Rhinolophus ferrumequinum: one gene and its partners. The protein of the gene in region 1 interacts with the protein of each later gene in a pairwise test. Links are inferred from orthologs where the notes say so. Each region holds a gene or a part of one and is shown in the gene's direction. Other genes may lie near its edges.

What was found. The genes of interacting proteins can lie anywhere in the genome.
Region 2: the proteins of HSP90AB1 (region 1) and CHORDC1 interact in binary tests that used the Homo sapiens proteins (3 or more experiments, as listed by UniProt). The link is inferred for Rhinolophus ferrumequinum from reciprocal best matches to the Homo sapiens genes HSP90AB1 and CHORDC1.
Region 3: the proteins of HSP90AB1 (region 1) and DDX24 interact in a two-hybrid assay, tested with the Homo sapiens proteins (2 studies listed by BioGRID and IntAct, with this or other methods). The link is inferred for Rhinolophus ferrumequinum from reciprocal best matches to the Homo sapiens genes HSP90AB1 and DDX24.
Region 4: the proteins of HSP90AB1 (region 1) and CDC37L1 interact in binary tests that used the Homo sapiens proteins (3 or more experiments, as listed by UniProt). The link is inferred for Rhinolophus ferrumequinum from reciprocal best matches to the Homo sapiens genes HSP90AB1 and CDC37L1.

What each region holds. Positions count from the first base shown.
Region 1 is NC_046286.1:13,470,853-13,478,109, forward strand, and holds the start of HSP90AB1 (heat shock protein HSP 90-beta), read left to right. Parts: upstream 1-4,237; 5' UTR 4,238-4,397; intron 4,398-5,257; exon of another isoform or gene 5,258-5,393; intron 5,394-5,810; coding exon 5,811-5,957; intron 5,958-6,256; coding exon 6,257-6,463; intron 6,464-6,568; coding exon 6,569-6,728; intron 6,729-6,889; coding exon 6,890-7,023; intron 7,024-7,142; coding exon 7,143-7,257. UniProt on the Homo sapiens protein: Molecular chaperone that promotes the maturation, structural maintenance and proper regulation of specific target proteins involved for instance in cell cycle control and signal transduction. Undergoes a functional cycle linked to its ATPase activity.
Region 2 is NC_046294.1:61,980,539-61,987,429, reverse strand, and holds the start of CHORDC1 (cysteine and histidine-rich domain-containing protein 1), read left to right. Parts: upstream 1-3,883; 5' UTR 3,884-4,022; coding exon 4,023-4,086; intron 4,087-6,891. UniProt on the Homo sapiens protein: Regulates centrosome duplication, probably by inhibiting the kinase activity of ROCK2. Proposed to act as co-chaperone for HSP90. May play a role in the regulation of NOD1 via a HSP90 chaperone complex. In vitro, has intrinsic chaperone activity.
Region 3 is NC_046289.1:9,015,244-9,022,161, forward strand, and holds the start of DDX24 (ATP-dependent RNA helicase DDX24), read left to right. Parts: upstream 1-3,910; 5' UTR 3,911-4,053; intron 4,054-5,437; 5' UTR 5,438-5,442; coding exon 5,443-6,157; intron 6,158-6,918. Other genes in the region: interferon alpha-inducible protein 27-like protein 2, read right to left, coding at 1,083-1,229, 2,245-2,322, 3,718-3,799. UniProt on the Homo sapiens protein: ATP-dependent RNA helicase that plays a role in various aspects of RNA metabolism including pre-mRNA splicing and is thereby involved in different biological processes such as cell cycle regulation or innate immunity.
Region 4 is NC_046295.1:31,683,237-31,691,251, reverse strand, and holds the start of CDC37L1 (hsp90 co-chaperone Cdc37-like 1), read left to right. Parts: upstream 1-5,007; 5' UTR 5,008-5,189; coding exon 5,190-5,321; intron 5,322-8,015. UniProt on the Homo sapiens protein: Co-chaperone that binds to numerous proteins and promotes their interaction with Hsp70 and Hsp90.

The sequences.
Region 1 (7,257 bases):
GGCTGGCCGTGCAGACCTGCTCAATTGTCTAATGTACGAGTATCTGAACATCAAGTCTATAGCTTTGTGAGGATGTCAGTCCAGGGTATTCCATATGGAATTCAGAGATGTAAACCCTATGGAACTGGAAAGGACCAGAACTGACAGAACACACCTGGCAGGTGCTGAGCTTGTTCTGAGAGCTAAGGGTCCAGAGCTATTCCCCATGCTGTACAATCCCTGATGTCCTGATGCCCCCTGGGTACTTTGTTCACCCATTGCCCTTTATCTGAGCACCCCTCAGCAGCCTCCTACATGCCCTTCAAATGCCAGTGGTGCTGCCCAACTAGGAGATCTCTCAGTTTGAGCAGCGGCAGGAGGCCTCTGCCCAGCCTGAGTCTCCAGGCTCCCTCCAAGACCTCACCTAGCGTTAGCTAAATCAGGGGTCTGCACACCTTTTCTGTAAAAGGTAAGAGAGTAAATATTTTAGACTTTGCAAGCTATGTGGTCTCTGTCAGAACTATCAACCATGGCATTACACCACGAAAGCCCCAAAGACAACATGAAAACAAATGAGCCTGAGCATGGCTGTGTTTCAGTAAAACTTTGTGGACACAAATTTAAATTTCATATATTTTTCACATGCCAACATATTATCTTTTGATTTTTTTTCCAACCATTGAAAAATGTAAAAACCATTCTTACCCATAGGCCATACAAAAACAAGCAACAGGCTCACTAGCTGCAGGCCATAGTTTGTCTTGTTTCATGTCGCCGCCCTCCAATGGCAAAAGGTTGGGTTGGGTCTTTGAGGCCAGGTCAGGAATAATGGATATCTAGGGAACATCAAGCATTGCAAGTACTACTGGGAGTAGGATTCTGGAGATCGGGGGAGGGGGGGTTTAAACCATCTTTAATAGCGGCCAGTGGCTTCTCTCACCCTCAGTCAAGGTCAGAACTTCTTAGTATCGCATTTGGGGCCTTTTCTAAACCTGACTCCTGCCTGCAGAGTCACTTTCAGCTCTTCCTGCCTTCCTCAGTGGTTCGTGGACTATGGTCCCTCTGTCAGGGTTGTGCCTTGTTTTTCTCTTAGACTTGCACTGTGGCCTGGCTAGCCATAGCCCTAAGCCTGCCCCCTTCCCTGGGCTGAGTTAGGAGTCTCTGACCTGCTCCCATACTTCTATGATTCACATTTGGCCTGGGGCAGTCCCCAGTAGCTAAAGACTCCCTGTCCTTACGCATTTCTGCATCCCCAGGGGAGGCTCACAGTGGGGTCTTCCTGAGCATCAACGAGTGGGAGAAGACATCTTGGAAGGCTTCAGAAGAGACGTTGGAATGTCTGTGTTGGTTCAAGATTTGAGATTTTTCCCATTAGAAAACCTGAGTAGTCTCTGGTCCTGATAGTGATTCACAGGAGTGATTGCCGCTCTGCTTTGGACTTGTGTCCTGAGAGGGGAGACAGCTTTCCCACTCCATTTCTGTAGCAGGGTTGCAGCAAGGGAGTTAGCGTAGCAAAGGCTCTGAGCTGACTGACCCTGATGTAGTCCCTGAAGCCTTCCCTTCCCAATCCCTAGAATATGCAGACTCACTTTTACCTCTTCACAGGACTGTGAGATGTTGTGAATGCTCGTTGTGAACTAGGAAACAGATTTGTAATTAGCTAGGTCCCTTCTGCCCAGAGGGAAAGGGGGTGTGTTAAGGGACTATGCTCCTAGTTTGAGATTTCGATCAAGGACAGAGACTCTTGGAGCCTTCCTGGAAGCAGCACAATGCCTTTTCCCATACTCTATTACATCTCCCAGCCACAGGCTTCTCGCAGACCAGCATGATGGGGTGTAGATGGGTCAGGAGAGATGAAACTGGGGTGTTGGTGGCAGGGGTGATGAGGTCTGGGATGTGAGGCAAGGAAAGCCAGGGTCCTTTGTTCTTTGGAATTCCACACACGAACAAAGAAAATATGAAGGAAGGAAAGAAAACTGGGCACCAAGGCCGGCGACAGAGGACTTCAGGTGGTGTTGGGGGAACACCTCCCCAGCATTGCAGGGACAGACAGAGTGGGTCAGGAAGGGAGTTGATGGACGTCCTCTTTGGTGAGTCACAAGGTCACAGAGCAGGGAGTGGCCATTCTTTCCTGGAGAGGCTATGGGTCCAGCAGCCTTCCAAGATAAGGCCTTAGAAAGGCAAAGACAGTTTGCTAGCTGGAGGGCGTGCAAAGTTGCAGAGCCGGGTGAGGCAAGGCAACCTGCAGCTCTCCGGGCATAAGGCGTCACAGCTGAAGGAGGACAACTTGGTTCTGGACGTCTGAAGTGGGCGCTATGGGCCAGTGTCTTCATGTGGTCTCCAAAAGGCCCTGCCATTCTGCAGGTCCCCTGGAGACCCTCCCCTCCCCAGGTGTAGGTAGCTGCAGAAGGAGGGTGAAAAGAAACAAAACCAGATTGAGAAACAGCTCTATGTGCTTACAAGGTGTGATCAAAAACTACGGTGAATGTTTAAATTTAAAAAAAATTATTACAGTAAAAGACACATTGGCATTAATACCCCTTGCTTTGAACACACTTATCCCGTGATTCTGGCCACTTTCTGGAGCATTTCTGGAAGTCCTCTTTGGTGAGCGTCTTTAGTTGCGCTGTTGTGGCTGCCTCGATGTTCTGAATCGATTCAAAATGTTTTTCTTTCATAGTCATTTTGACTTTGGGGAAGAGCCAGAAGTCACACAGTGCCAGATCCCGTGAATAAGGTGGATGAGGACACACCATAACGTCTTTATTTGACAATAATTGCCGTATACCAGAAGCGATGTGTGACACAGAGCGTTGTCATGATGGAGGAAGAAGACAATGGCAATGTGTCTTTTACTATAATAAATTTTTTTCCTGTTCGGTTCCCCCTTTCCACCTCTCCCCCTTCCAGTTCAAGCCGTTGTTTATCAGTCTAGTTGTGTAGGACACAGCTTCCTGGCCCATGCTGGTATTAAGAGCCTTGCGCTCCCCCCAGCTGAGGCAATGGGGTCATCAGTTGGCAGCTCACAGCGGCTCATGCCTGCTCAAGGCAGCCCAGCTCCAGGGAGAGCCGTTGTTCACAATCTTAGCTGTAGAGGGCGCAGCTCACTGGCCCACGTGGGAATCCAACAGACTACCTGGGCATTAGGAGTACAACGCTCCCACCACCTGAGGCACCTGCCAGCCCCAACACATTTTTTTAAATTTAAACATTCACTGTATCTTTTAATGACACCTCGGTATGCAGGGAGGTAACACGTCTCTGCATTCCACACTTGGTCAGCAACAGAGGCTGGGTCCCAGCCAGAGGGAGAGTCCCTCCCGAAGCGACCTATCTCGGCTCGCTCCAGGCAGCTCCTGCAGAGCAGGGTGCTGTGTCATCGATGAGGGACAGGAGCAGTCAATCACTCCCTTTGGGCTCCATCCCACCCAGTGCCAAGCTAGGTGGACCCGGTAAGTTGGATAGAGGGTCCCGCAGGCGGCCTTCTAGAGTACAGGGGATTGGAGCAGCCCACCCTCTCCCGAGTGACTCTGGTAGAATTGTCGCGGCGCCACAGAGACACCGCCCAGGCCGCAGCGGGCGAGGCGGAGCCTCGAGGGAAGAGGGTGGGGCGAGGGCGGGGCCGCCAATTGGGGTCTGGAAACTGCTGGAAGCGTCGCAGTACTGCCGCTGTCTCTCCTTCCGCCGCAAAGAGTCCCTCCACCAGTCTGGGCCGGCGCCACGCCCCGCTGCGAAACGCTGGCCCTTCCCCCCGCCCACCACCCCACAACCACCGGAGAGCCGGAGCCGGCGGCTGCCCGAAGTTCAGCCTGGAATTCTGTACCGCCCCAGAGAAAACCCCTTATCGGGATGTAGGAATGTGCAGAGCAGATTCTAAGAGGGAGGTCCATCTAGACTGGGAGCGGAGGTCGGAGTGATTGGCCACCTCCATCCGCCCCTTTTTAGGTGTCCCTCAAGGCCAGGAGTTAGCAGTGGAGGGGCCTGCCCCACAGGTTTTAAGGGAAATCAGTGGGACCCTCGACCCTAAATCCACCTGGATCATCTAAGCATTCCCACCCAACCTCTAATTCTGGTGGGGTCACGCCCGTGAAGTGCGGAGATGGGGATACGTAAGCCAATAAAAAAGTGTGCGCCCCTTGCAGACACTGAGAACCACTGCTCCCGCTCTTCACTGTCTCCGCCCCGATTTTGGCCATGACGTCAAGGTGGGCGGGCGGCAGCAGGTGCGGAGCTGACAGACATCCTGCTTTAAGGCGGAGGGATCCGTGGGAGGGCTGTACTTCGCCCTATATAGAGCGACTAGGGGGTCACACAGCCCTTCTCTTGAGTTACCCCCACGCACGCTTTCAGCGGTGTGTGAGCCGGTCACAGTCGGTGTCCACCTTTCTCCCTAGTACTTGCATCTCTTCACCTTTAAGGTAAGGCCGCACTTTTCTCTTTCAGCCTTTTCTGTCTCTGAGCGTATTTCGTCCCTCTTTTCCCTTCCAAAGGCCCGATTTTGTTGTGCTGGGCTGCCTTTGGGATGCCACAATTTCTAGGTGGGTGGGAGGGGGTTCTCGAATGGAGCTTGTTTTGCCTTGTATGCTTAGGCGGCGGAGTTTCCCCCGGGCAACGACTAGCCTTGGCCGAGGTGGGCCGCGGAGTGGCCTTGGGGTAGTGGGCTACTGCACGTGGTGGCTGCGCCGGCCCGGGACGCTGCCATCTTTGCCCCTCCATTTCCGGACCGCGGCTACGGGGCGCTAGAGGGTCCGCAAGGGTTGTGGGTGTGCGCGCTCGGTGTGACTCAGCACAGCCTGGTGCTGGTCTGGCTGTGCCACCTGTTTTATTTAGACGCGTTTCTCAAGTCCGTGAGGGTCTGCGATAAGGAACGCTTTGGCCCTCTACTGGCCCACCGTCCTTCTAGATCTTTCCTGTATTCGCGTGGAGGAGGGGAGGAGGCGGGTTCTGGAAGATTCGTGGGCTCCTAAACCCCCGCCCTTCTCCGAGAGCTGAGATTGTTCTGGAAGCTTCTGGAGCCCGGCGCCCCGCCCTGGTGCCCGAATGCTGGAGCGCAGGGAGGCTGCGCGGCGGCACCCCGTTTTCGCGTGGCCCTGGCCGACGCATGTCCGGTAGTGACGAGGGTCGATCCGGTAGACCACGGCCACCATCTTAGTTGTGTTTAGGCCTACACTTGAGTCACGTGAGCCGAGGGGTCACGACTGTGCTTTTGTTTTATCGGCTTCTTTGTCTTAATAGTCCCCCTCCCCTCCCGGCGGGTATCCCACCGATCTCGGGTTACCCTCCCCTACCACGTGAGTCAGCAATCCCGTGCTCGGGCGAGGTAGGAGGTACCTACTTGGGAAGCAATTTCACATTATTGCCATTAACATAAAACGAGTGACCGGGTTTTTCTCCTTCACCTGGACCAAAAAGAGGTAATAAAACTGTGGTTAGTGATTTCTACATTGAAACGTGCGTGTGGATTTCCTGGAATTCTTAACTTGAGATACGTGGGTTGGGGGCCAAGATTCTGCATTTCTAACAAGGTAACCCGGTGATGCTGAGGCTGCTGGTCCGTGGAACACTTAACAGTAGTTTGATTTCCAAAAAACCTGCTTTTCTGTTTCGTTGAAGAACGTGTTGGCTTCCCAGCCCCCAAATGGTTTGCGACTAAGGGTGCAGTCTGAAATCTTGAAGAAAGCAAAGCCTCTTGGGGAATGGCTAGGTGGTACCTCACTCAGAGCAGTTTGAACCAACTGTCTCCCAGTGTTCACTGTGATTGGGGTTTGTTTTGGGAGTCTTAAATTCAGGGCCATTCCATTCTTTTGTAATTCTTGACTCTTCTTATTTAGATGCCTGAGGAAGTGCACCATGGAGAGGAGGAGGTGGAGACTTTTGCCTTCCAGGCAGAAATCGCCCAGCTTATGTCTCTCATCATCAATACTTTCTATTCGAACAAAGAAATTTTCCTTCGGGAATTGATCAGTAACGCTTCTGATGTGAGTGCTGGGGAAGGGGTGTTCGGGGCTGGATGTGTTTTTAGCAATCCGGAAAAGTGATGAGGGGTGGTTTGGCATTTTTGTGGGGCCTGCTATTGAAGGGGATAAACCTAGCGTTCCAAACAGGTTTGTCTTACTCTCTGGATAGATGGGATAGTGTAACTAACTGTATGTGGCTTTGAAACTTCAAAGGGTATTCAGAATTGAAGCTATTGAGGAGTAAAAAATGAAGTTTTTTATTGGATGAAGAGTTGTGCTTTAAGAAAGCAGCATTGTAAAAATAAAATTTGTATTTCCAGGCCTTGGACAAGATACGTTATGAGAGCCTGACTGACCCTTCCAAGTTGGACAGTGGTAAAGAGCTGAAAATTGACATCATCCCCAACCCCCAGGAACGTACTCTGACTCTGGTGGACACTGGCATTGGCATGACCAAAGCTGATCTCATAAACAATCTGGGAACCATTGCCAAGTCTGGTACTAAAGCATTTATGGAGGCTCTTCAGGTGTGTGGTATTTTAGCTAGGCACACACCATCCGTGTTTATCTAATGTTCTTTGGCTTGCTGTGGTTTTCGAAATTTGTTTTGACTTTTTAAAACTTTTTGGCAGGCTGGTGCAGACATCTCCATGATTGGACAGTTTGGTGTTGGCTTTTATTCTGCCTACCTGGTGGCAGAAAAAGTGGTTGTGATCACAAAGCATAATGATGATGAGCAGTATGCCTGGGAGTCTTCTGCCGGGGGTTCCTTCACTGTACGAGCTGACCATGGTAAGCTGGCTTAACTGTAAAAGTGTCTGGCTTAGAATCCAGGGGAAATTTAAATAGACATCTTGAGTGTCCTACCTGTAAAGCAGTTTCCTTTCACTACAGTTCTACATTTAGTTTCTTTTTTTTTTTTTTTAAATGTTCCATTGTGATTGACTTTGTAGGTGAGCCCATTGGCCGGGGTACCAAAGTGATCCTCCATCTTAAGGAAGACCAGACAGAGTACATAGAGGAGAGGCGGGTCAAAGAAGTGGTGAAGAAGCACTCACAGTTCATAGGGTACCCCATCACCCTTTATGTGAGTATGGGCTGGAAACTGTCAACACATGATGTCTGCTCTGGAGAATTGCGTGGTTCCTGGTTTTTTGTGATCCCTGCTGCTCTGTACTCTGAAACTATTGTCTTTGGTACTTTCAGTTGGAGAAGGAACGAGAGAAAGAAATCAGTGATGATGAAGCAGAGGAAGAGAAAGGTGAGAAGAAAGAGGAGGATAAAGATGATGATGATAAGCCCAAAATTGAAGACGTGGGCT
Region 2 (6,891 bases), on another chromosome or scaffold:
GGTAGGCAATGAATATATTTTTAATGCATATGTTATAAATAAATAAATTTGATGAATACACATTTATATTTTAACATATAATGTATATAATAAATATATTTAAGTAATAAATAATAAAGGGCGGCATCAGTGTGGAAGACTAGTACATAAATGCTACTACATTCTCTGACAAAGTGAAAAAAACATAAATAAAATGAGAGGACATGGAAGGAAGAAAGAAAATGAGATTAACATTGACTACTTTACAGGAAACAACTAAAAGTCAAAGTGAATTATATCTGACAAAATGAATAGGAAAGCCTAAGTAAGAAAAAGAAAGAGGTAATTATATGAAAGTATTAGTATACAGGAAACCACTTGAACAAAAACACAAACATTCCTAAATACCAAAATAAAGAAAATTAAACCAAACTAAACTTGCCAAAATAATCTGTCTATTGCAGTACCCTATTCAAATTTCTTTGTCCTTGTGGGGCTATATACAGAGGGTGCCAAAAAAAAAATAATGTATACACATTTTAAGAAAGGAAAAAGTGTATTAAAATTGCAATACTCAATATATACCAGTAACAAAAGATGAATACAAGTCGTGTATACATATTTTTGGCACCCCTGGTATACATTTCCTTCACCACAATTTTAGTGGGATCTGGAAAAAAATGGAGGTAAAGGTATATGTCCAATATGACATGACTAATCAAAATAATTGAGATGACTTTTTAAGCTCTGAGACTGGACTTCCTGATGTAGATAGGTGGCCAGGTCAGGTCTATAACTAATCCTACATGGGATTCAAGACTCACAACTGATCAGGAAAGAAGATGCCAGATGACTGCTCATTGCTGGCTATGCCTTGTCTCCGGCTTGGGACAATAGGTGGACGATGGTAATTTGCTGATTGTTTACCAACTTCCATCCAGCTTCCAAAGGCCCCTACCTGCAAATAAGCTAGAGTTTCAAGTTATTTGTCTAGTCAACCAATCTACCACCATCTGCACCTAATTTGATTATTCTGTTAATGTTTTGTATGAAAAGGTATGCTATATCTAAAAGCTACATTACTACTGGGAATGTCAACTACTTAAGTATCTAGTCCTCAGATTCCTGTGATATGGGAATAATAAGACGGAAAGGTACATAAAATAAATGCATTGCTTTATGAATCATTTCAAAGTGAGCATCCCCCACCTAAAGAAATGAACTATACCAGTACCTCAGAAACATTCCCCTTTCCTCCCAGCTCCCTAAAATGAACTATTATCCTGATAGTCATGATAATAAGTTCTCTAGTTTTCATTATGGCTTTCTCATGTTAGTAGGCATTCTTAAACATAATAACTTGTTTATGCTTGTTTCTGAAACGTACATAAATGGATTACACTAAAGTTATCTTTTACCCCTTTGGCTTTTTTATTCAACATTATGTTTTTGAAATTCATCCATTTCATTTTATTTGTAGTTCATTCATTCCCTTTTTTGTATCGTATTACATGGTATGGCTATACCACGATTTGGACATACCTTTTTATAGTTAATTCATATTTGGATTATTTCCAGTTTTTGACTTTTATAAATGATGCTATTCTGAACATCTTGCATATAGTTCTTGACGTCTTTTTTATCATATTATGATTTATAAAAGACAAATATTAGAAACCACTTCGATGGCAAAAACAGAGACATGCCCATTATTGTCTAAGAAAATATTGGTATTTGTAGCAATAGGATTGAATACAATTCAGTCAGACTATATCCTTAGAACATTTTATATAAAAAATCGTTTTCATTTATTGAGCTTCTACCATGGGCAAGCCAATGCAGTAAGAGCTTTACATGTTATTTAAATACTTTTAATGCTAGCAATATTTACATGCTCTATACAAAATTATTATTTACATTTTACACAAGAGATAATTGAAGCCAAGGGATGTTCTGAGATGATTAAAGTATTTTAGCTCTATATTGCAGATCTGGGATTTGAATCCTGGTGTGATTCCAAAACTCCACTCTTAACTATAACACTGCTTTTATAACATGAATAATCTCAAAATACTGATATGTAACAGTACATGTGTTTGTGTGTGTTGGGGGTGAGCTGTCAGGAATTGAATGTAAAGGCTATATACATTATGTATGTTACCACCACCAAGTTTCTTAAACAGAGCATGGTATTCCTGGTACCTGATAGTCCAATAAATGCCTGGGGTGGGGAGAGGAAACAATGGAAATGAATTTATCAAAGAGTTATTTTAGTGATTCAATACTTATTGCTGGGTGGTGGAATCATTGTGGATTTTGTTCTTAATATATTTCTACATTTTCAAATTATCTACTATAAACATTTATTATTTTCTGATTTTTAAAAAGCTATAGTTGAAAAGAATGACAAGAAACATTAAAACCATTTGCTAATAATCCTAGTAATGTTGCAGTGATGCTAGGATACCAGACAATGGATTTAGCCATAATCAAAACGTTCTAAGCTTCTCCATCTCTCCATTTCTAACTGTGTAAAATTAATTTCTATGGTCTACTCCCCGCATTCACAGCTGGTAAAATTGCAAATTTGTACCATCTTTTGGAAACAATTGGCAATATATATCTTTAAAATCTTGAAAATTATTTTAAAAGGCTTATGCTGTTTACTCTAGTACTGCCACTTCTCAGTAATTATCGTGAGGGGAAAACCTAAAATAAGAAAACAACATACAATAAATAAGCATATATATGTACAATAAAATTGGTGAGGTTTAAAGAAGAATGGTTATAGTGCAGTTATTCAACAGAATACTACTTCATCATTCGTGATTATAAAACAAAATAAAAAAAATACTCATGTTAGGTTAAAGGAAGGCGATACAACATTGTATATATCTATGTTGGGATTACTACATAAAAAATTAACACTTCTAAATATAAAGAAAAGAGGGGAATATGGAAAAATGAGAAGGCTTTTTTATTGGAGTTGAAGGATTGTGAGCCAATCTCTAACAGACTTGGTTGGGATTACTGGAAACATCGTGTAACTTTCTATTTCTACATAGAAACTACTGATAGTGAGTATTTTAAGGTTGTTCTGTATACTTATCTAAAAGCATTTGCTTTTATTTCGAGTGCCCCAAGTTTGGGAAGTATACAAGTTGGAGCTAGTGTTGTGTGTGCCTGTTAGTGTTATACTTTTTACAGTGCATTTAGTGAAACCTTTAGTAAGGTTCCATGATTAGAAAATTAAGTATCGATAAATTAATTAAATGGAAGCTAATAGGAAACAGCAACAATTACCCCAAGGTCTTAAAGCAATAGCGACCATTTCTAGCACTGTGTTTGATCAGTACGTTTTTTATATATTCTGACCTCTAAATGCTTTGTATTTTCACAGTGACTTGACCTCAATTCGTTGTTAAAATTGCCTCCAGTGCCTTCATTTCTCCAGGGCTTCAGAATCAGGACAGTGGAGACAAACTCACACAGGAGAGTCGTCCAACACTCCTCTCATCCTTTACTAAGCAACCACGTTCTACGCAGAGGATGCGGGAAAACTGCAGGATTCCGCACTGAAACTCTCCAGCAGCTAGGGGACAAACATTGCCAAGGCTGCGTAAGCCGGCTCCAAAGGAAGAGGCATGCTCGGACGCGGGGCCGCGACAGCAGCATCTTGCTTCGCGAGAGACCCACAGCCAACGAGGGGCGAAGGACTCTGGACAGCAGGCCACGCCTCGGCTACCTTCACTTCCTGCCCTTAAGGTTTCTCACTACGAAGAGCGGCGCTCCACCTCCGGCCCCGGCCGCCGGCCGCGGGCGTCAGACCCACAGGACCCCGCCGGAGCCCCGCCTCCTGCCTCTGCCTCCGTCTCTGCCCCTCACCTCTGCGCCTGCGCGACCGGAAAATTCGCGAAGGTTCCTGAAGCGAAAGCGGTCCTTTCCGGAAGCCGGCAGCCGCCCCAGCCTTCGGACTGGTGGTTGCAACGCAGCGTCTTGCGGTTGCCGGCTTTTGGGCCGGACTGGTACCGGTGGGGAAAGACATGGCCCTGCTGTGCTACAACCGGGGCTGCGGCCAGCGCTTCGATCCCGAGGTCAATGCCGACGGTAAGAGAAAAGCGCCGCCAGCCCTCCCTCCCCTCCCCGCCGCCTATCGGGGGACGCCCTTGGGCCAGACGGGGTCCCGGGGTCCTCCCGCGAGCCGTCGCCGCTCTGCCCCGGGTCAGGCTCCCCCCGGCCGCCCTCGGCTGCCCTGGGAGCCGCCCGCCGCCTCCTTGGTGCGCGGGGCCCCGGGGCCCCGGGGCCGGCGCCCGTAACGGTGTCTGCCGCCGCCGGAACCCGCTGAGCCGCGCTCCCCGGGGCCACACGTGTTTCCCAGCGGTTCTCTCACCCAGCAATTCGCCTGGGATGGAGCACCTCCGTATCCCCACGCGGTCTCTTTGGGGAAGCAGAAGGCATCCCGGGGCGACGGGTCTCGCTCGGAGGTTGATTTGCTGTGAATGAGAGTGAGTGTGGGACGGACGGACGGACGGACGGACAGACAGACGGACAGACAGGTGGGAGGGTTGGACAGCGGGCGGGTTACCCTAGCATGTTAAGTTCGGCCTCGTTGTATTCGTATAAAAGTCGGTCTGAAAGCCTTCTGTCGGCGTGTTCAGTAGACCCACTTTTACAAACTTACTGTCAAAAGGAAAAAGGTGTACTTGGTTAGGAAAATTGTCCTATATCTTGACGCTGTGAAGTTTTGATATCCCCGCCCCGGGGGGGGATACATGGGTTCTCCTTTACTTACTTAGTAGCGGTATTTGTGGTGGGTATTTTTGTTACGGCCGCCCAATTTTAATACCATGCCATCTACAGGATAACTGAATTATCTCCACTGGACCAAGGTGTCAAGTTAATGATGTAAAGTGACAGGTAGTGACTAGACCCGGTGAAAAATAGAAAATGACCAATGAACTTCGATTGCGATTTGTGAAAGGGATGAAGTAGCAGCATTTGTCGTGTTTTCTATGTGCCAGTCTATCACTTTATTACATTATTTCATTTTAATCTTTACAGCCCTATGACGTATGCATATTAGAGAAGCCGAGTTCAGCATGGTAGCAACATTGGTCTTCATTGTGAAAGAGATTAAATTCGATGCCTTTTAAAGTCCTTTTCACCTTTGAGATGTCTGAGATATTTACCTTAGTGCACAGGTGAATTGGTGACATTTAAAATGGTAAGACCATTGGCAGGATTCTGAGGAAAAGATAAATCCAGTCTTTATACAATACTCAAGTTACTGTCATTGACAATTTTATATTAATATGAAGTTATTCACTGGGAAAATAGTGAGATTTCAGTGAGTGACATAATCGAGGAATGCAGGATTTTAAAGCCCTTTGCTATTGGTAGTCCAAGTAACAAGTAAGTTGCCTTAGTGTCTGCACAGTATTCTAATAAAGGCAAAAGGTTGATGCTCTGTTGTACCGGACAATATGTTTATTTGTAAGGGTGTTATGTACCAGCGTAAAATTAAGAGGTGATAAAGCCACATTTTGGAAGTTGGCTCTGCATGTGAAATGATACAGTACTTAGGAAAGAGAGGAGAGGAGACAGGAAAGTCAGGAGTGGACATTCTCAGGGATTGTGTGTGATCAGCTACCAAACGCGGCTGGGAGCGCCAGTAAGGTAGCCGAAACTTTATTTGCTTCAGCAAATGGAGTCATTTTAGAGACTTAGAATAAATACTCCAAGGAAGTCGGTTGACTGAATGGAAAGTTAAGCAAATGGAGATAGGGAGGGAGTAGAAGACAAGAGTTAATGGCAAACTGTGGACTTGGTTAAGAGAAAGTTTTATACAATGGGAGAGGATGGACCTTACGTGTTGACTAAAATAACGAGACTCCCTTCTAAGCTGATAGGACATTTTAGTTTGAAACACAGCTAAATGAGTTTAAAGGAAACATGATTGGAAACTTGTATATAGTTAAACTGTTACTCTGGAAAAAGTACCACTTCACAAACAGTATTTTATTTAATCCAGTAAGCATAGGAGGAAACTGAAACAGCTACCAAGAGACAGAGGCAAAATTTGAGCCAGGGTCAGACCCACTGTTAAAAGCCCTTGGCTCTTAACCACTACAACTATAACGTTGTAGCTTCTTACCCTTAAAATATTACTTTGAGCTGAACTGCTGGTAAACTTTATATAAAGAGCAGAGAGGAAAATGTCCATCTGCTTGTTATTTACTCTTGAAAGCAGTGAATTTTTGATGTTCATACTATAATAATTGTATGGTTAAGACCTGACTCACTGCTGCTGCCATTCTGCCAAAACTGACTTATTATTGTGCCTCTTGCTGTGTTACACGTTATGTGTTTTATGTCTCTGGCTATATGTAAATTTGGTATTTAAAAATACTCTGTTCTCTGCTTTGGTTCCCCTCTCTCAACTTCATAGCCCTCTACATACTCATGTCTACTTTTTTCCAGCCCTTAATTCCATTACTACCCTTAATTGATAGCTTAATTCTAATTCATGGGTTTACTTATTGTACCATGAAAATACTTGACACTTTCCATTCTCTAGCATATTATCTATGTAACGCAACACCTGGTTACTAACTAAGGAAACCATATTGGTTATTAATACAGGGGTAGGGAGATTTCCTTAAGTACCAGGAATTAATCATTTTAAGGCAACACCAGCAATCAGAGGTTGTAGACAATTGAAAGCTAAGTAGGCATGAAGGTTGAGCAGAGTAGCCATATAAGAAAATTATGCAGGTGTGGAGCTGACTTGTTTTTCCTAAGTTCAAGGTTCCCTCAGGGAGTAAGTGTGTCTATTATCTGGTATTTTTTTAGACATAATACTCCATGCTGCGAACTGTAATAAGCCCATTTTCATAAGAGTTAAGTAAAAAT
Region 3 (6,918 bases), on another chromosome or scaffold:
TATTGCCTCACCTGGTTTATTTAAGCAAACTCAATATATTTTTGGAATTTGCTGGGGGCCAATTAAAAATGGATTGCGGGCTGCAGTTGGCCCGCGGGCCGCAGTTTGGACACCCCTGCTCTAGAGCATTTGAGATTTTGCTCCCTAGCATATGTCGTCGGTTTGACTCAAACAAACTCTTATAAAAAGTCTCTACAGGTTTGGACGTTTCTTATGTCAACACCACTTATAAGAGGTCCCCAGTGGAGTCAAATTCATAGAGACAGAAAGTAGAATGGCGGTTGCCAGGGGCTGGGTGGGGGAGGACGGAATGGAGAGGTCTTGTTTAATGTGTAGAGTTCGTTTCTGTGAGATGAAGAGTTCTGGAGGTTGGTCGCACAATAAGGCAAATATACCTCCTAACACTACAGGACTGTACACTTCTAAGTGGTCAAGTTGGTAAATGTTATTTTGTCACAATTAAAAAAAAAATAGAGTGCACCTTTTCCTGCCCCGTTCCTGGGCTGGCCCCACCCTAGAGACGAGACTGCTCCGTAAGGGCTTATCATCAGAGTAAATGAGCAACCAGGCCCTGGGGCATCAAGGAGGAACAGGACTGGAGAAACGAAACTCACTCAGGCCTTGGGTGCTGTGGGCCAACAGGTCAGGGCAGTGACAGGGAACTTGAACGGGCAAAGAGCGGGGCCTGAGCATGAGCCTGCTAGCTGCCCAGGAGCCTAAGGCCAGTGTGACTGGGCTCTGTACCACTTAATTGATGTGACCTGGCACTGGGGGACCTCGGAGAGTGACATACCCCTATCCCTGCACTTTGGAACAAACCGATCAAGGCCCAGAGAGGGCTCATGACTGGTTCTGGGTTACCCAGCAAGTCAGCAGCAGAGCCAGGGCCTGAAGTGTAGTCCCTCTGACTCTAGAGCTTCATGTACGTCATCTCCCGTGTACACCGCGCCCCTCTTCTGACAATGTGGGTGTAGTAGAGGGTCCATCGGGGACTGGTACGTGAATGCTGACAACTTAGAAGACTGAGCTGAGCAGTGAGGGTGAGGTGACGTCTGGTGGACTGGTGCCCAGGGACCAGTTACCTGCAGTGCGGGAGAAATTCCTGCCTCCATCTTTGGGTGGTGGGTCTGTGGAGTCAGAGCCATGTCCATCTGGCCCCGGAGGGGGCCCCTGTGGTGGCCTCCCAGGAGTAGAACCAGCAGAGGATGACTGGGGGGATTCATCTTCCTCTGGAAAAGAAGCGGGGTGGGGGCACAGAGAGGGGGCGGGTAGCTGTGAGACCAGAGGTCGAGGCCCCCGGGCCCCGAGGAGGGCAGAGGCCCAGAGGCCCCACAAAGCACCTTCTGACATTTCCTGATGCTCGCGAGAACTCCGATGTGGGAATGGGACATCAGTGACAGCAGTGCTGAGGTAATAGGAACATTTGGAGATGAACCCAGGTACAAAACAGAGAGAGGGAGACCTGACCACCAACTGAGAGCGGGCAGGTCCCTCACTTCACCAAGGGGTAGGCTGAGGCCCAAGATGGAAGAGACTTCCTCAGATACAATGCACCTTAGTAGCAGCTCCAGGCTAGAACCCAGACCTCCTCTGCCTAGGGCCATGGCCCCCAGGCCCTGGGCCACCTTACCTTCCAGAGCTTCCCTGAGAGCACTCACCATCTGACTGAAACTCCTGCAGGAGGGCATCAGCAGCAAGTCCTTCATTCTCTATGGCTTTAGCTGACATCTCAGAGGCAGTGTGAGCACACTAGGTACACAGCCTAGAGTTACCACTATTTTTCCCAGAAAGGGTGTGTGAAAACCAGAAGAGCTGTGCCTGATTTGTGATGGATTGTGGTATGGATGGGGACACCTCTCCATTGCCCTGAGCCCTGGCCCCTCTGTCCTATAGCAGTCTGTGGGCCACTCCCAGCACCCCCCCCCCCAAATCTGCACAGACTGCAGCTTTTTCAGTTAAGGACTTTGGCTCCCTGATCTCCAGGATTCTATTCATCTCTAATATGTCACCTCTGTCCCCTGACTATTGCCCCATACCCAGCCTAAGTCTTAGGGCTTGACAAAATCCTGGGTTGGGACAAGCCCGGTTGCTCCCAAAGTCGCGGGGTAAATGTGGGCTCAAACCCCTTCCCAGCACACTCACCTCTAGTCACAGTGACAGCAGCTCTGAATGGCAGCAAAGAGGGATGCTATGAGTGGAGTCCTGGTGCTCCCTCCCTTCCCCATTTCCCGGGCCCCTGCCTACCTTGAGGTAATTGCAGTTTTGGAAATCCTGTGTGTAGTATGGCTCCTGATGACTCCAGCAGGCATATATAGTTCCACCCTGGATGACGTCCCACCCACGTGGCAAATGAGACAAATGAATCATTCTTAATCTAGGCTGGTAGACCTAACCTTTGCCTTGCAAATGTGAGGATTGGGGGAGTGTGGGCTGGTCTACAGGATAATCTAATCTCAACACATCCCAATGCACCATATATAATACTCAGTTTCTCTAATCCTCTAATGGTGGCCGCCTGGTTTGCATGGCAACAGGAGAAAGCTTGGGTTAAGTCAGAGGAGATGTCCACACAAACCAAGGCATATTTAGAACCCTCACCCACAGGGAGAGAGCTAATATAATCAATTTGCTAATTTTGCATTGGTTGGGAATTCTGGTGGATGGCCGCAGACTCCTTTGGTAGTTGCCTTGGGAGTTGTTTAGAACACAGAGGACGTGCTGCTACTGCATTAACCAAGTCACTGTATTTCAAGGGCAATCTGGCAACCCTGGCAATGTGCCCCCCACCCAGGCAATGCAATGGCCACTCTATATATTCAATGTGCTATATTTACTGAAGGGTTAGTTGCTAGCGCTCGTCTCTGAGCTAGGGCATCAGCTTCCTGATTGCCAGGCAGTGTCAGTGCTTTATGAGCCAAGACATGGAAAACAGTAAGGACCCAAATGTCTTTCCACGTATCGTGATCCCACAAAGGCTTATTCATAGTCATCTATCCCTCTGTTTCCCATTGTCCAAGCCACAGGGTTAATCCCTTTAGAACAGCCCAACTGTCAGTGCAAAAGGTTAATGAATGACCAGGGCTCCCCCTCCAAGGTGTGTAACTGGCCCAGAGGAGACAGGAACATTTAACCTGCCATGAGGGGGGTCATGCGGCCCTTCCTTCTCACTCTCCCATTGAGGACTGCTCCGTTCCCGTTATCAGATTTCTTCAGGCACCACTTGGGCACAGGCTCTATGCTACCCAGACTCTTGGGGACACACTGTCAAGTTGCCCCAAGAAATGTGTTAAGCTCTGTCCCATGGTGGCTCCAAGCTGGTGGGGAGGCTCACTAGATCTGCACTTGGTGAATTCCCCCATTGTCCTTTAGGACTTTCCAAGGTCACCAAGCAGTCTATGAGAAAGGTTCCCCAGATGGTCCCGCGACACCCACATGAAAAGGTGATTATCTATTGTAAAGCTAATTTCTCTGCATGTAACAAAGCAGCCAGTTTAGCTTGGTGATTAAAGCCTGGGCTTTAAAGTCAGGCGGACCTACCCTAACCATCATTGAGCAATAGGAGAGGCATGAAAAAATTGCGGAAAATGGCACCTCCAACATAGGCTGGTTGGGTTGTAAATTAAATGCTGAAATTTTGCAAGGCCCCAGGCATACAGTAGGTTTAACACGTCGACAGTCACTGCACTAAAACTAGACCAAGAACACAAGAATGCTTACGTTTCCGTGCGTGAACTAGCGTAGAGCCCTTCTGGATGTAGCACAGAGCCTTCCCCCTGCTGCGTAATCCAGGGAGGGCCATCGCCGGCGAAGCCAGATTTACTGCCCCCAGGGCGGTGCACTACCGCACTGCACAAGTCCGCGGTCGAGCGGCAGCGAATCAGGTGGCGGCGTCTAGAGTGGGGGCGGGACATCCTGCCGCACCGCGCCCGCGTGCGCGAGTATAAGCCCCGCCCCGGAACTGCGGTCGGCGCTGCAGCCGAGGAAGAGCTGTGGCGTTTTGTAAGGCGGTTGTCCTGCCGGCGTCTGTGGGAGCCGTAGCGGCGTGTGCTCACTGTGAGTACCGGTGCTGGAGCGGGGGCCTGGGGCCGGTACCCGAAAGGAGCTGGGGGCGGGCTCCTCGGCGCCCATGTCGGGCCTCTTCAGCTCACTGGGTTCTCAAGTCCAGAGAGGCGGCTGCCGGCCCGGTCAAGCAGCCTGTCGACCCTGCGCCGGGTCCCCTTCTGTGGGTCTCGGGGCTCGGAGGCCTCGTCTTTCCCGCTCCGTGCGCCTGTTTATGCGTGAGCGGAGGCGCTAGGGCCAGTCACAGGGCTGGACGCTGCGAGCAGGGGCCCCGCTTGCTCTGCAGGTCGCGCTCTGCAGGTCGCCCTCCGCGTCCCGCCCATGTGCGTGACCATCCCCAGTGCCTCTCATCACTGAACTCCAGTCGTTGGTACTTGGGGCGGTGAGGTTCGCTGGGTGAACCTTCCTGCGTGCCGGCGTGCTCAGCCTGCGAGGCGCCATGCTGAGCGGTTTTTGACGTGCGTCACCTTTTTGTATTAGCGTAAGCGTGCCCGGAGACAGAGCCTCATCACCTGCGTTTTACAGACGAGGACACAGGCGCAGAGAAATCAGTACATTCGCCACAGACTCAGAGTTGGCGAGTGATGGGCCGGCTTTGAACGACGGTTCGTTCACCTTTGTCTTTCTCACAGGGTCTGTTATTTTTCTTAACCTTTCTGAAAGGGGAGAACAAGGATCCAGTTCCACTCGAACTGTGCTACTGCTGAAATGGTTTTTAAATCACTTACAATGTAATGAAAAAGCTGTACGGGATGGATGGGCTTTAAGCCATTTGGCAAAGGCCAGAATGGTGGCGCAGGCATTTAGATGTTCTTGGGGCAAGACTTGAGGAGGAGAAAGCTCTGTTCACTTTGGATAAAGCTGGCCTCCTCAGCCGCCCTCAACGCCCACCCCTGAAAAAAAAAACAAAAAAAAACCCAAATTCTCACTCTGCCTTCCATGTGGCTTGGGTATCGCAGCCTTTATCCTCCATGCTTTCCATAATTTTATTTATTTTTCTAAAACATTTTGTGACTTAGGTATTATTAGGCCCCTCCTTCTCTCAAAGAGATGAGAACACTGAGGTTCAAAGAGGATTAAGCAGGGTTTCCCAAGGGAACACAAGCAGTTAAGTATTGGATATGGAATTCAAACCCCATCTAGCTCATAAGTCTTTGCTCTCTATTCTGTTCGAGGCCAAGCTATCTGATTTGTGGGTGTATTTCTTTCCTTTTTTGATCTTCTCTAGCTGGGAGCATCAGCTCTAGCTGGGAGCATCAGTGTTCAGAGCCATCTTTGCAGGGTCTGATATCCTGTAGGCTGCTTAGAAAATACTTGTTGCGTCAGAATCCAATGCTTTTCAGTTGCCAGTCTAATCGAACACCTCTCTCCTTTTCAGCAACCATGAAGTTGAAGGACACCAAATCAAGGTCAAAGGCACCAAGCTATGGCAAATTTCAGACAAAGGGAATTAAGGTTGTGGGAAAATGGAAGCAGGTGAAGATTGACCCAAATATGTTTGCAGATGGACAGATGGATGACCTGGTGTGCTTTGAGGAACTGACAGATTACCAGTTGGTCTCTCCTGCCAAGAATTCCTCCAGTCTCTTCTCAAAGGAGGAGCCCAAGAAGAGAAAGGCACAAGCTGTTTCAGAAGGAGAGGAGGAAGGAGATTCTAGCTCCTCAAAGAAAAAGATAAAGTTGAAAAAGAGTAAAAATGTGGAAACTGAAGGAACCAATGCCCAGAAAGACTTTCAGGTCAAAGATGCTGAGCCAGAGCCCCTGGGAGATGGTACAGTTTGTTCTGATCCAGAGATAGGGGAGATGGCATCAGAAAGCCCAGCCCAGGCTATTCCAAAAAAGAAGAAAAAGCAAGGGAAAAAAAAATCAGAACCTTCTCAGGGTAGTACTCCAAACGTGCCGAAGAAAGCAAAGACGTGGATACCTGAAGTGCATGACCACAAGGCAGACATATCAGCTTGGAAGGACCTGTTTGTACCCAAGCCAGTTCTCCGAGCACTCAGCTTTCTGGGCTTCTCTGCACCCACACCAATCCAAGCTCTGACCTTGGCACCTGCCATCCGTGACAAACTGGACATCCTTGGTGCTGCTGAGACAGGTAAGGGCACCCTTATCTGGCCAGGGCAAGATTGCTTCTGGATTGAGCCTGTGGCTGCTAACAGGCTGGATGGCTGGGGAGAGAGGCCGAAGCAATGGTAAATGAAGGTGTTTTAGAAGCCAGCCAGCTCTGGGTTGAAATCTGCCATTTCCTAATTGGTACCCTAGGCAGGTCACTTTATCTCTGTGTGTCGTATAGGCACTATTATGAAATGGAGATAACAATACCTACTTCTTTTGCTGTGTCGGTTAAATGTAAATGCTACAGCAAACTGAAATTTCCACAGTACATTGTGAGTGATCTGCAAATGGTTTTCTTCCTGTTCTTGGGCCTTTTTTAAATGGCTCAGAGGGGTAAACCAGGGCTAAGATCAGCCCTCTGGAGAGGTAGATCTTCATTAGTATAAGGAATAAGTGTCCAACTCTCAACTGTTGTCCGAAGATAAAAAGGGCTGCTTTGGGAGTTGGTGAGTTTATTGTCATTGGAAGGATTTGAATGTGTGATAAATAACTATTGGGTGGATTTTGTAGGCAGATTTGGGCATCAGGTGATTGTTGGGACTAGGCATTGTTTAAAGTTCCCTTATTCCCTGGGCCATCTAAGACTTTGTGAAGCAAGACAGGTTGAGTCTCCCTGGGTGGACTAAACTGCTGACTAGGGGGAGTGGCTTGTACTGCCTGGAACTATTAGTCCAGCTAGACCAGCAGTAACTAATAGAAATGTATATTTCAGTGCCAGTGAGCCACAGATGTAATTTTAAA
Region 4 (8,015 bases), on another chromosome or scaffold:
ATTGCAAAATGCAAGTGCAGAAAGATGTGAGAATGAGGTATTTATTTAGGTAACTGGAGTTCCTTTCCATGGAAGGGAAAAACTCAGTGTGAGGAAGGAGGGTATATTGTGTCCTTACACAATCCTTGTGTACCAAGAGGTACACAAGTGGGTGCTTGGCTCCCTACTGTATCCAGAGCACTAATGTGTCAGCTCACAACAGCTTGCTGGCACCCAGACCCGTACAGTGATATATGGGGAAAGGACCCGTGTTGACCTTCACAAGTAACTCACCAACACCAAGGGTAAGATATCAAGGAGAGTGACAACCAAAACAGACTAAAAAAATAAGATCAGAGACATAATGGAAGGGAAGAATTGACTTATATTAAGAAGCTGCGAAGTGCTAGGCATATTGCATATGCTAATTCATTTCATGCCCACAATAACCTCTCTTTGAAGCAGATGCTCTTATCCCTATTTTACAGATGCAGAATCTGAGGCCACAAAGCCTTTCGCCCACGGCCACACAGCTGAAGGGAAGCAGCCACACTTGAATCCAGGTGTACCTTGCCATATCACTGCCCCTGCAACACAGACATCCTAGAGACACAATGTCAAATCCTGTGCTCTCCCTAGCCTTAACTGGACTCTCCTTGCCTAACTGAACTCTCCTGGATATAACTGGACTCTCCTTGTTTGGCACCTAGAGCACAGCCCTCTTCTGGTTTCCCTCCAATTCTTTAGCCATTCTTTCTCTGTCTCTATTCATCCTCTTCTACCTGTCTAAGCAATGTTTCTTGGTCCTTGCCTTTCCTCACTCTATACCCATTACCTAAGTTGTCACCCACTGCATGTGCCCATTAGCACAGGTACACTGATTTACATATCCCACCTATGGCCACTCTCTCTGACAAGGTGAAATCTCACTATTATACATAAGATATAAATATAAATTAACTAAAACTAAATAAAATTTAAAATTCAGTTCCTCACTCACACTAGTCACATTGAAAGTGCCCAATAGCCACATGTGGCTAGTAGCTACTGTATTGGGTAGTGCAAGTAGAATACTTCCATCATCACAGAAACTTCTGTTGAGCAGTGTTGCTATAGGGCTAACTTCACTTAAAGGAAATATGGAGGATAGAAAAACGTATTAGTGACACCACAAAGAAGCAAACAGACATATCTAGAACATAGGACATTCTATAGGACAACTGACCCAATTAGTCTGCAACAAGTCAATGACATTGAAAAGCAAAGGAAGGGTGAAGGGGAAACACTCTAGATGAAAAGATACTTAAGAGACCCGGCCACCAAATCTAATATGTGGACTTTGTTGGAACCCTGATTCAAAGAAACCAACTTAACTAGAATATTTGAGACTCCGAGGAAAATTTGATTATGGTTTGAATATTAGATAATACCAAGCAAGTAATTTTGATAGGTATGACCATATCCTTGTGTTTATGTAAGGCAAATAACAATATTGTTTAGAAATACACATTAAGGTATGTAGTAGAAATGATCTAATATCTAAAATTTTGTTTTCAAATACTCCAGAAAATGAATAAAAGGAATGGATAAAGCAAATGTAGCAAAATCATGATAATTGATCTGAGTGACAGATATATGGGGTTTACCATAATTCTATGCGTTTGTGTATTTAAAAATATTCATAATAACAACTTAAAAATTTTTAACACATACTTAAGTCATAAGAGTAATCATATCTTTATGGGGACCTCCTTCTGTCCTATAATAACCCATCAAGAGGATTGCTGGTGGCATCACTACGAAATTCCCTTCAATAGAAGTCTTACATACATTTAAAGAGCAAAATATGGTGGATCTATTCATCTGAAATGCAGATGACGTAAGAAAATTATTATGGTACATAATACTTGACAAGTAATTCATTGGGAAACCCACTTAAGGAAAAAAGAAGCACTGTATTACAAGAATAGTGGTCTCTCTGCATGAATGTCCAAATAGGAGCTGGCAATTTGAGTAGTGTTTCTTTAAGTATATATACTTCTCGAGAATTTTCTCCAAGTAGCAGGAATGCTTCCAAGGAAGGAATTAAATTGCTACTGAACAGCTTTTAACAATCTTTAAGTCATTTGGGATCTGGGCCCACACACGGAATGTATTTCACAAACTTTATTTGAGTTCACGTGTCAAAGTCATATGTTACTCTTTGGCTTCTGCTTTGACTCACTGAGATTTGCAGGCTCCATACTTACTTAGCAATACCACACAAACCCTTCCAAAAGGGCTGCCCTTGGGCATTCTGGACTATATAGTCCATATATTTCCATTTTAAGGTAATTTCTATTCAGGAAAAACTAATTTGCTCTTTTAAGTTTCAGCTGGTTAGTTCTATGTCCATGGGAGTACTAGGCCAATTATGACCCAAAGCAATTTCCAAGGAATTATATTTATGCAATATAAGAAAGTAGAAAATAGTATGATTTAGTTCCAAGGCTTGTAAAAAGTGTCCACTGTGCCTGGGCACAGGATTTAGAAATAGCTAAAGTCAGCAATAGCTAAGATGAGGCTACTTCTGATATTATTAATATCCACCCTTTCTTCTCATACCAAAATATACCCATTTCCATCCTGGTTTTACCTTTTTCTGTCTGTATTTAATCCTACACCTTTCCTTTTATCCTTGTTTCCATGCATTAGTTCCCTATTTATCTATTCGGCATGTATTTATTGAGTACCTACTATGTGCAAGGTACCGTTCTGGACAATGGAGGTATACAAGGGTGAACAAGAAACAATCTATGCTCTTGTAGACCTTACATTCTAGTGCAGGAAGAAATACAATAAATAAGTGAACATAAATAATAATAGTATGGCAAATGCTAGGAAGGAAATATCCAGGGGGTGAGATAGGTTACAGGTTGGAGAAGGAATAAGAACCTAATCTAGACCCAATGGGCAGGTCAGCCTCTCTAATGGTATAACATTTGATCTAAGATCTAAAAAGAAAAGCATGACCACTAGCACGACTTTTAAAAGAACTAAGAGAAAAGAGAGCCAGACAAAGGGAGCAACGAATGTAAAGGGCCATGGGTCAGGAAAGAAATTGGTATGTTTGAGGAACTGAAAGGAGGCTAATGAGCATACTAAGAGAGACCTGGGAAGGCAGTAGAGGAGGTTGAGATGACACCCAAGAGTTAGGCTGGCACTAGGTATCACAAGAACTTAAACAATTATAGCAGACGATGTGATTTGAGTACCTAATATCACAATAAGGTCTTCTTCCTTGCTAATGGAACCCCAGTTTTGCTTGGATGGCAATGCATCTAGATCCAGGGAATGAATCATAATTACCTAAGCCTGTTCTGGCCGATGATATATACGGTAACATCACTGGAAATTTCTGAGAAATATTTTAAAGTAATTTAAAGTAACTTGTAATAGACGTCACTTTAATATAATGTAATAGACGTCACTTTAAATGAAAGCTACTAGTGAATAAAACTGGTTTTGCCTCCTCTCCTTTGTGCTTTAGCTGCTGTCCTATTTTCTTCTGTGGCTTTCACTCATAAGCTCAAAAGGTTTAGGCACCGTGCTTTTCAACTTTTATTTGTAATTAATTATTAAGGTATAACATACATGCATTGGAAAATATTCAAACAGCATAATACAGGAAAGGTACGAATGGAAAGTAAAGATGCTCAGAACCTTTCCTCATAGCCTTACCCACCAGGGGTAATCATTAACATTTCTTGTCTACTCCCCAGGAGGTTTCCATATACATGTGCATATACGTGTATACACACACACGCGCGCGCACGTTTTTACACAAATTGGATCATTCTCTTTCTCCATAAATATGCACACACACAAAATTAATTTTGCAACTTTTTTTTTAACTCAACACATTTTGGAGATATTTCTGTATCAGCACATTTATATCTATTTTACTCTTTTTAAAGACTGATTAACATCCCACTGTATTAATAAACCATAATTCATTTAAGTTTCTCTATTGACGGGCAATTAGTTTCATTTTTTTTGTTGGTTTTTTGCCACAAAAAAATGCTGCAGTAAACATCTTTGTTGATAAATCATTGCATAATGGTGCAAAAATAACTGCTGCATAATTTCCTGGTAGTGAAACTGCTGAATCAAAGCACCTAATTCTCTGATACTCAAAGTGCCCCTCCCAAAAAGTTACACAAACGACATTGTCTCCAACCGCATTTCCTCACATTTTGTCAACACTCAGTATTGAATAACTTCAAAAGTCTGCCAATCCATTTCCTCACATCTTGTCAACACTCAGTACTGAATAACTTCAAAAGTCTGCCAAATAAGACTGAAAAAATGGCGTCTTGTTTTTAGGACTCTTTGAAGACAGCAATACCTGATTGTTAAACGCGCACGATTTGAAGTCAGATTCCCTTGGCTAATCATAGTTCTTCCCCTTAGTATGTGTGACCTTGGCATGTTGGGTCTATTTCTTCTTCTACAAAGGGGGACAGAGAACAAATATTTCGGATTAAACGAGATATGTAGAACTATATGAAGCCCTCCCTGTACGTTCGCTATTGGTACTCGTCTTAATTTTTTAAATTGGTGCTTGGCCCAATTCTTCATCTTTGGCGTCCTCCTCTTAGCCAAGTTCTGTAGTGTTCTTGTTGCTTGTAACTCGAAATGACAGGGAAGTTGGCTTTGCTTTTCAAAATTCTCCCTTCTTCCCTCCCAACCCCGCTTCAGAAATACTGGCTTACAGTATCAATGCACAGCAATGAGTTGCAGTTTTTAAACAAGTGGACACTTGGTCTGAGCACCACCACTACTATTTACAGCGTAGGGAACACTAGACAACAAGTATTCAATACTACACGACCCGTAGTGCCGTTAGGGTAAGTCGGCAGCGTTGAAAGCCTTCAGAGAACGGAGTTTTAAAAGACTTCCAAACGCACCCGCTACAGGGAGGCCCCGGGACACACCTCACAAGCCCCCGCCCTCCAAGCCGGAAGTGACGTCCTGAGTGGAGTCCGTCTTTTTCCGCCGTCCGCCGGTGGCGCGGCCCAGGCTAGTGTGGAGCGTGCGTCGGCGTCGCGGCCAGCAGAGGAATTCTGGGTAACGGCCCCGGCCCGCTGGGGCGGCTGGCTCCGCGCAGCTGGATTCACTGACGCCAAGTCTGTTGGCAGTGGGGGTTATAGAGCCTGGGGCAGCCGGACATGGAGCAGCCATGGCCGCCGCCAGGACCTTGGAACCTCCCTCGGACAGAGGGTGAGGCAGAGGAAGAGAATGACTTGGACGTGTCCCCCAGTTCTCCCCGCTGCCCACAACTGCCGGGCGGCGGCGCCCAGGTGAGAGGGGGCCCGCTTTCTGCTAGGGGAAGGAGAAATGCCGTTGCCAGGCCCCTAGAGTCCGGTCTCTGCGACCCTCTTCTGTGCCCTGTTCTGAGCCTCCACTTCAGCCGTGGGGATCGGGGGCCTGATGCCATCCTACCGCTATTGTAGCATCTTCAAAGGACTTCGAAGAGAGGCTGGCCATGTATTTCCAACCTCCACCTCCTCGCACACCTTTTCACCGTGGCCAATTCCATCTCACCCTTGGAAGACGTTTCCCCACCCCCATCCTGACAGATTGGGGGCGGCTCATGTTATTAACATTGACCCTTTGTCCTCTTGTGCGTGCTTTTATCCGAGCGTTTTATTCTGTTGAAGACTCTAATACTTGTGCATAGTTGATAGGAGCAGTGAATGGTTGTATTTCAACATTCACCGAGCTCCTGACTTAAAAAGATTTCTCATCCAATTACACTGACTTTTGACATCTAAGTAAATTCTTTAAACCTCGCTTTTGATGCTGGCGTAAATCCTCCTATTCGTGTGACCATTTTACCCCTAACGGTTGTTTTAGTTTTGCTTCACTTCATTCTCCAGTAAAAACATCTACCCACACGTTTGCCTTTTCCCTCAGACTTCTTCCTAAGATTCCTGATGCTACTCATGGTTTTCACACCAGCATTCATTCCTCTGAAACTTATCTACATGTGATACATCATTTAAGGATTTTTTGGATCCTATCTTAGGGATTGCTTATGTCCTGGTTATTTTCACCTTGTCTTGGTTATTCTCCTAACCTGAGTGTGTTTGGAAGTATATTTCAGGATCACAGACTAAACACCAATATGTTAAATGAAACGGATTCTGAGTGTCTGCTTTCAAGGTTTCATGCAAAATGGGGTTCCTAAGAGCTTAACTGAATGAATACAGTTTTTCTCTAAACTCATCTTGCTAGCTGTTAATGAAAATGAGCGATTTAAATCATTTGCCAGTAAGTGTAGGGTCATCGATTGAATGCCCAACTCATGGGGGTTGGCTTCACACAGAAAATGCTGTTTCATAACCACAGACTGTACTTTGGCCAGCCAGTCACTGGGAAAGTGCAAGACATTTTTTAGGAGGACAGAGTGAGAGTTGATATGTCAGTAGTCACCCACTAATAATGGATCACTAGTGTCATCTTTATATACAAAATATGTTATATAACCACATAATGAATGTGTTACAGAGAGAACGAACAGCAGCTGCCATTGTTATTTTGAAGGCATATGGAGAGGATAGAAGAATTTCAGTGCATTGTGGTTGAATTACAAAAATAGCCTAAGAAACTCAATTTTAAAAATACCTGTATTAAGTTTTACTTGTACACTTGGAATTACAAGCTTATTTAGCTGAAAGGAATTTTAGAAGTGAAGAGGCTTATCTCCTTCATTAAAAGTGATTTCCCTGAGACCATACAGCTAGTGAGTGGCAAAGTTGAAATTAGATCCCTAGTTTTGGCTCCTAGTACAGTGTTTTTTCCAACGTACTGCACTGTCCATCCTGTGATGTAACGTAAACCCTTATTTGGCTGAAACTACTTTTGAATGATGTTAAAACTTGTGATTTCTAATCCTAAATCCATTCATATGTTTATAACCTTATTTGTCTTACTGGCTTTAGGACTTAAGTTTTGGATTGAAATATTTGGAAATAATCAAATGTTTAATTCAATTCATAAACATTTTATAATCTTTATAAAAACAGCTTTGGTTTAATTTTACCAAATATGTGGACTCTAGACATCTTAACGTCATATGTGATGTATAGATCTGAGATCCAATTAATGTAAAGGCAGTATGGAATTTAGAGGTCAGTTTGAAAGGGTTTTTTTTTGTGTGTGTTTTTTAATGTAAAGTTACATTAGTAGATCTTAATGCTAACAATTCCTTTTTCAAATTTATGTTCATTAAATTGATGTTTAATACCCCTTTGAAACCTCAATATATTCACAGATAAAATATGACTTTATTTAATCATCTCAATACATGTTGGATAGTTTGTTCAAGTGGCCAAATGTTGTCTGTGGAGAAGAATTTAAACAAATCATTTTTAGAATTTGGAGATAAGATTTCTGTGTTTGATTTGAGAAATGATTTGAGAATTTGCTCCCACATGATTCGAAAATGCAAGATCCATTTGTCCATATCTCCTTTCTTAGTATATCTTTGTCTTTTCTTACAATATAAATTTTATAGCTTCATTTTTCTCCTTTTCCTGGCCCCTTAAGCATAGCTAGTCTACACTTTTTCTGGATTCTAAGTTAGCAAAAAACAATAAATACTTTACTTGGTTAGTTAGGGCCATGTGGTGCTTGGGCTCCAAACCTGCTAAATGAGTAACTAAAACATCTGAGTAACAACAATGGCCACGTTTGCCCCAGTAGAAATCTAAGTTTCCCTGCAGAAGACTTAGATGAGAAGTATGGATGGGCCTTGCATGCAGCTTGGCGCAGAGTTCTTGACCACCACTAGTCTGTTCCATGAAGTAGAGAGGCATTTATTCATCTAAGATTTATTGAATTCTAGCCCCAAAGAAGCTGAGCGTTGAGTGACAACACCACTATAGAAGTATGCATAACTTGGGTGAAGAGGGAAGGGATAAGGGAAAATTTAAGGATGTGATGACAGAATCTAGAAGGAAGATAGGAGTTTAATGTGGCGGGGGGAGGGG